Regions from separate parts of the Mus musculus genome. Here region 2 is reported to be linked to region 1. The links are microRNA targets in miRTarBase. Many come from high-throughput screens and were not tested one by one. Region 1 holds a microRNA gene; the other region holds the end of a gene's coding sequence. Distances are from middle to middle.

What was found. The annotated mature microRNA mmu-miR-3102-5p reads GUGAGUGGCCAGGGUGGGGCUG and lies in region 1 at 1,539-1,560, shown strand. An mRNA with a match to its seed (bases 2 to 7 or 8) in the 3' UTR can be bound and repressed. Matches are read on the target gene's strand: a 7mer-m8 pairs with bases 2 to 8, a 7mer-A1 pairs with bases 2 to 7 and ends in A, and an 8mer does both.
Region 2: miRTarBase lists Siglece as a target of mmu-miR-3102-5p. The part of its 3' UTR that is shown has no 7-base or 8-base seed match.

Annotation. Positions count from the first base shown.
Region 1 is chr7:100,880,544-100,883,947 of GRCm38, reverse strand. Mir3102 (microRNA 3102) reads left to right here and starts at 1,539; the gene lies at 1,539-1,642. Arhgef17 (Rho guanine nucleotide exchange factor (GEF) 17) reads left to right here. Exons shown (of 21, transcript NM_001081116.1): 4 at 64-180; 5 at 386-478; 6 at 656-832; 7 at 1,125-1,175; 8 at 1,429-1,538; 9 at 1,643-1,728; 10 at 2,137-2,255; 11 at 2,556-2,769; 12 at 3,274-3,347.
Region 2 is chr7:43,648,843-43,652,246 of GRCm38, forward strand. It overlaps Siglece (sialic acid binding Ig-like lectin E), which reads right to left. Exons shown (of 7, transcript NM_031181.2): 7 at 2,228-2,847. The coding sequence ends at 2,644. Ceacam18 (carcinoembryonic antigen-related cell adhesion molecule 18) reads left to right here. Exons shown (of 6, transcript NM_028236.1): 6 at 1-453. Among named protein-coding and RNA genes, the nearest start is that of Siglece, 9.6 kb to the right of the region's middle.

The DNA.
Region 1 (3,404 bases):
CCAGGACAGGGTGAAGTGGGTGAGGGACACCTGAGCCTGCCTAACCTGCTTCCTCACCCACAGTTTTCCAAAGACGTCTTGGTGAACATCTATTCGGCCTATATTGATAACTTCCTCAATGCAAAGGATGCTGTGCGTGTAGCTAAGGAGGCCAGGCCAGCCTTTCTCAAGTTCTTGGAGGTATGTGGACTGGGGTAGGGGTGAAGCTAACATGTCAGGCTAGCTCTGGGCATCCCAGGAGCTCTTGACCAAAAACATTGTGGTGCTTGCAAGTGTGTCAGCCTCTGCCTTTGGGCTCACCTGGAGGGACTTGGCTAGGAGCGTGTCTCTTCCTGCCGTGTCAGTCCTCATGTGAGAACTCCCTCCACTCTGCCTTCGGTTTCAGCAAAGCATGCGTGAGAACAAGGAAAAGCAGGCGCTGTCCGACCTCATGATCAAGCCTGTGCAGAGAATCCCACGCTATGAGCTTCTGGTGAAGGTAACCACGGGCCTGGCTGGACAGGGAGGCCCTGGGGGTCGGGGGGAGGAGTATGTCTGTTCTCAGACTCCAGGCAGGAAAGAAAGTCCTCCTTGATGCCTATACCATGGTCTCTCATGCTCCAGCAGTCAGTTCAATACCTCAGGGCAGCTAAACAGGTCTCCATTCCCGCCCCAGGACCTTCTGAAGCACACACCGGAAGACCATCCAGACCACCCACTGCTGCTCGATGCTCAGCGCAACATCAAGCAGGTGGCTGAGCGCATCAACAAGGGTGTGCGGAGCGCTGAGGAGGCCGAGCGGCATGCCCGCGTGCTTCAGGAGATCGAAGCCCACATCGAGGGCATGGAGGATGTACGTGCCCCACCCTGCCGTGCCCCAACTTGTCCCTGTCTGTGTCTTCATCTGTCACCCGGATTGTGGCCATCCACGTCCAGGTCTGTGGTCAGCTTGCTTCTGTGACCACAGTGCCCCACCCTTCTGTGTCCTCCTCCTCCTCCTCCTCTGTCTGACCTTGTGTCCCTGTCTGGCAGCCCAGTGATGCAAGCGAGGACAGGATGTCGCTCTGGCTGACCTCGTTCATAGAGTGGTCAACCGATCACTGCAGGGTTAATAGACTAATAACTAGTTCTCTCCTACCCACCAGCTCCAGGCCCCCCTGCGGCGGTTCCTGAGGCAGGAGATGGTTATTGAAGTGGTAAGGGTTCTCCCATTGGCTGTTCCCCCAAGTACCTTCAACCCACCCAAGTTCACTCTCTGGCGCCTGCTGCCCTCTGGTTCCTGCTCCCCAAGCACCACACAATGGGAGCCCTGCATGAATCCCGATTCCACATAAGTGGGGGAGAGCCCTCACCCCTCCCTTGGATTTGCTGTTCCTGGGGAACTAGGGTAATGTAGGTCGGCCTCTAGACTGTGCACACTGAGCCTGAATGCCACTTTGGACCCTACAGAAGGCAATTGGAGGCAAGAAGGACCGATCCCTCTTCCTGTTCACAGACCTCATTGTCTGTACCACCCTGAAACGAAAGTCGGGCTCGCTGAGGCGCAGCTCCATGAGCCTGTGAGTGGCCAGGGTGGGGCTGGGTGGTGCAGGCAGGAGAGCCATTGATCTATTGTGGGCTCTACTCCCTGCCCCAGCCAGAGCACCCCATTGGCTACCCACAGGTACACAGCAGCCAGCGTCATTGATACAGCCAGCAAATACAAGATGCTGTGGAAGCTGCCACTGGAAGACACAGACATCATCAAGGGTGAGGCTGGCTGAGTCTGTCAGGGGTTCTGCTGGTGGCTTTCCCCTGAGTCTGCCTGCCTGTCTGTTGGTTTGTCTGCTCTTGTGACTCATCTTTCATCCCATATGAGAGATTGGTTTTGAAGAACCGGGTTAGTTTCCATGCAAATCATCCTCTTAGTGCCCTAGCAAGTTCTCCAAGAGTTGGCCGTTCTGTGCCCTGTGACTCTAAACCAGACCTCTCCTCCCGGGCCTGTTTTTTTTTTCTGAGAGCTACCTGTTGACCTTGTTTCTGAGAGCTTGGGTCTGGAAGTGCTCCCATTTGCCAGACCAATCCCGTGCTCAGCTGAAGGCTGTGCGCTAAGGGAAGTGTGTCTGTCCAAGCTTGACCTTGTTTGATGTGTTCATGGCTTTCCTCTGTCCTCGCCAGGGGCGTCTCAAGCCACCAATCGGGAGACCATCCAAAAAGCCATCAGCCGCCTGGATGAGGACCTGGCCACCCTGGGCCAAATGAGCAAGCTCTCCGAGAGCCTCGGCTTCCCCCACCAGGTCTGTGCCCTGAGCTAAGGCAGTGTTGGCTGGGACTTCCCCTGACCTTGCCTGAGGGACAGACAGTCTTGGCTTTTGCCTGAGGGAGCAGTTGGTCCTGTCACTTATCTGAAGGGGAAAATTATAGTCTTGCTCCCACTTAAGGGAAGTGACAGGTCCGGGGTCTGAGGGAGGAGACCTCTGAGGGGGAGAAAGGCCCATCCCTGTCTGTGGCAGGAGGAGGCTGCCTTCCACGGTCCCCTCGGTGCAGGTGCCCATGTGGTGACACCTTGGCCTGAGGCCTGGGTTCTTTTCCCACAGAGTCTAGACGATGCACTGAGGGATCTCTCGGCCGCCATGCACCGGGACCTGTCAGAAAAGCAGGCGCTATGCTGCTCCCTGGCCTTCCCGCCCACCAAGCTGGAGCTGTGCGCCACCCGGCCCGAGGGCACCGACTCCTACATCTTTGAGTTTCCCCACCCGGATGCCCGCCTGGGCTTTGAGCAGGCCTTTGATGAGGCCAAGAGGAAGCTGGGTGAGCCAGAGTTCATGTTGGTGTCTTCTCTCACAGTCCCTGTGCAGTCCTGACTGTAGAAGCCAGGACTCTCTGAACTGCCCTCCTGTCCTCCAGCGGCCGATAGGGAAGGTGGCCTGAGACTTCCACAGTGAAGCAGCAGGCTGGACATTTGCTCTGGCTCCCAGCTTCTTCCTGGGGGGGAAGGAACTCCTGGACAGAGTCGTTTGGGGACAGGGACCCCAGCATACGCCTGAACCACCAAGACCTTCCTCTTCCTCAGTATAGACTCAGCTAAGTCCTGGAAAGTTATTATTAAGTCTACAGCTTAGAGATCCAGGGCTACTCATTGTACAGAAAGGAAAACTGAGGCCAGACACAAACGGAGTAATCCATGACCTCTCATTCTAGCTGAGCTGGTACCCGGCCCTCCCTAGGGAGACTGGAATGGGGAGGGACCAGAGCCACTGTAAGGTGGGTGCTAAGCAGGGGTTCTCTCCTTTTGCCCTGTCTCCTCTACTACAGCATCCAGTAAAAGCTGTCTAGACCCTGAGTTCCTGAAGGCCATCCCTATCATGAAGACTCGCAGTGGCATGCAGGTGTGTGTGTGCGTGTGGGCCATGTAGACACGTGTCTACTCAAAGCTACATACATGT
Region 2 (3,404 bases), 57 Mb from region 1:
GGGATCTTGAAAGATTCTTCAAAGATGCGCAGATACCAATGACAGAGAAATGAAGCCATTTTAAGTTCAGACAACTGGTGTCAGTTGCTTAAATGGGTCCTACACACAGGTTTAAGAAGCACACTGGTAGAAAGGCTTCTCAATGAGGAAGGTAGTTGCCTTCTAATTATAGATGAATACACAAAGCTACATCTGATAGGGCCACAGAGGCACAGAGATGGGGTCAGAAACAGAAAGAACAGATCAGGGGCTGGAGGAAGAGTATATACTGCCTTTGCAAAGATCCCAAGTTGGGCTCCCAGCACCCATGTTGGGCAGCTCACAATCACCTGTAACTCCAACTACAGGTTATCTGATGCTCTCATCTGAACTCAGCATGAACTGCATTCACACACACACACACACACACACACACACACACACACTTGAAAATATATATGAATATATAAGAAAGTATGTTGTATATGCCCATGATCCCAGGCTTTGGAAGCTGGAAGCAGGAGGTTCGGGAGTTCAAGGTCATCTTAAGCTACATAGCACGTTCTAGGACAGCCTGGGGTACTTGTGACCCTGTCTGTTTTAGTTAGTATTCTATTCCTGTGAAAAGACACTGTGACCATGGCAACTCTTATTTTAATCGGGGCTGGCTTACAGTTCAGAGGATTAGTCCATTACCATCATGGCAGGAAGCATGGTGGTAGACAGGCAGATATGGTGCTGGAGAAAAGCTGAGAGTTCTGCATCTGGATAGGCATGGAGCAGGGAGAGAGGGTGACACTGGGCCTGGCTGAGCTGCAGAAACCTCATAACCCTCCCTCAGTGACAGACTTCCTCCAACAAGTGTATACCTCTAATAATGCCACTTCCTATGAGTGACATTTTCATTCAAACCACCACACTGTCTCAAAAAAAAAACCCAAATAAAAAAGTATAGATTAATCAACAATGATAGGCACAAATACAGATTCAGTCCAGTTTTATGTTCACATGCAAGTGAACATTTGCAAAAATGTTAAGTATTATCAGTATTTCCTCTTACGTTAGAATCTTCTTTATGTTTTGCTCTCAAGTGCTTTTCTCTCACAAAGTATATGCACTGTTTTTAAAAACCAGGAAAAAGAAACCGAGTTAAGGCACGTTTGGCAGCCCCTCAGTATCCAGCACTGCTATCTGCACTTTCTCTGAGCTACGTTCAGTGGTGCATCACCAATAGCAAAGCAGAGTGGAGCAGCATCTCTGCCAAATTGTCTGTCTGTCTGTCATCTTTTTTTCTATCATCTATCTTGTATCTACCATTTACCTTTTATATAGCATCTATCTTCTATCATCTATCTACCTTTCCATCATTATCTGTCATCTCTATGTCTCTATTTTCTATCATCTATCTATATATCATCTACTAACCCTTTTCTTTCTGCTATCTATCTATCTATCTATCTATCTATCTATCTATCTATCTATCTATCTATCATCCATCTAGTTTGGGTTTAAATGTACATTGTCCCCAAAGGCCCACATATTTGGACATTTGGTATCCAGCTGGTCGCAGTATTTTCTAAAGCCTTGCGATCTCTCAGACATGAGGCACAGCTTATAGAAGTGGGTGTCTAGGACTGGGCTTGGAAGATGATACCTACATCTAGTTCTGGTTTGAGCCTGCTGCTTCCTGATTCATCAAGATTTGGAGCCTCCACTACATGTACTCACTTGAGCACCATGTTGCCTTCCTCGCCATGATAGACTGAAACCATGAGCAAGAATAAACCTTCCTATCCTTCATGTTTCTGTCAGCATCCTATCAACAAAGACAAGAAAAGTAGCTAATACATACAACATGAAACCATAAAGGGATTGTTTGGGGAGAGAAAGGAGCCTAGCGACTAATAGGATGCTAACAGGAGAAGGGGATGAACATGGCCAAAATATGTGATACACTTGGAAGAAAATATAGCAAAGTCTATCACTGTGTAAATAATATATGCCAATTTTTAAGTAAAAATTAGATCTAAAACAGTCAATCTTATTACTGGAGAGATGGCTTAGTAGTTACGAGCACAGGCTACTCTTACAGATGTCTGGGTTCAGTTCCTAGCACCCATGTGGCCTCTCACAACCCTCTGTAACTCCAATTTCAAACTGTCTGATGACCTCTTCTGGCCACTGCAGGCAGGAGGCATGTAGGTGGCGCACAGGCCTGCGTGCAGGCAAAACATTCACACACATACAGTTACAATAAAGTCAAGTGCTGGGTGGTGGTGCACATCTTTAATCCCAGCACTTGGAAAGAAGAGTTCAAGGGCAGTCTGGTCTGCAGAGCAAGTTCTAGGACAGCCAAGGCTACACAGAGAAACCCTGTCTTGGAAAAAACAAAAGGAAGAGGGGAGGAGAGGGGAGAGAGGAGGAGGAGAAGAGGGGGCGGGGAAGGAGGGGAAGGGGAGAAGAGGAGTAAAAAGGTCAAGCTTATGATTCCCAGGGCACAATAGCAGTTGTGTGGACAGGGCAGCACAGGGGCATGGGCAGCACAGAACGCCTGTGTCACAGAAGGAATGGCTCTGAAGCCCTGTGTATCACATGTCAACCTAGGTGACTCTTTCCTTCTCCAGAGCCAGCCTCCTGGGGCCACCATGCTTTCTCCAGCCACGGTCATGGCCATGCGGTCCTTTGTGGAAACTTTATCTCTGAGTACTCCGTGGTAGTGTCCTGTTGCCCCCACAGGTTCATGGGCTTCATCTCGTGAAAGCTGAGGGTCGCATAATGTATCTCTTCCTCTGTGGAGGAGGGGGCCGCCTCAAGTATGGAAGGCAGGGGCTCAGAGCTGTCATCTGCCTGGGATTCAACCAGGGGATTCTGTAAAGAGAGGAAAGGAGAGAGTCAGAGAAGACAGCAGGGGCCCCTGGAACCCCACATCTACTCACCCGCAAACATTTTAAATTTTAAATTGCATATATGTGTGTAGGGGTATATACACATAAGGTGCAGTGCCTACGGATGCCAGAAGGTGGCATTTGATTCCCTAGAGCTGAGGTTAAAGGAGGTTGTGAGGAGCTCGATGTAGGTGCTGGGAACTGAACTCAGATCTTCTGCTGGAGCAACACACTCTCTAAACCCGAGCCTCTCTCCAGCCTCCCATGTGCAATTTTTTTTGGGGGGTGGGGAGAGGAATCACCTTCACTCCTACTTTCTGAAAACATTTAATACTTAACAAGCACCCCGTCTCCCTAGCTCCACCAGCAAGATAGTCCTTCTGTCTCTAGTTTATAGATGTGAAGCCGAGACGGAAATAAGCAACTCAACCAGAGTCCCTGGGAAAGCTGGTGCACAGCTGCCATGCTAGACTTAGGGGGCAGAGGTAGAGACAGGAGACTCACTACAAGTTCAAGACAAGTGTGGTCTACATAGGAATT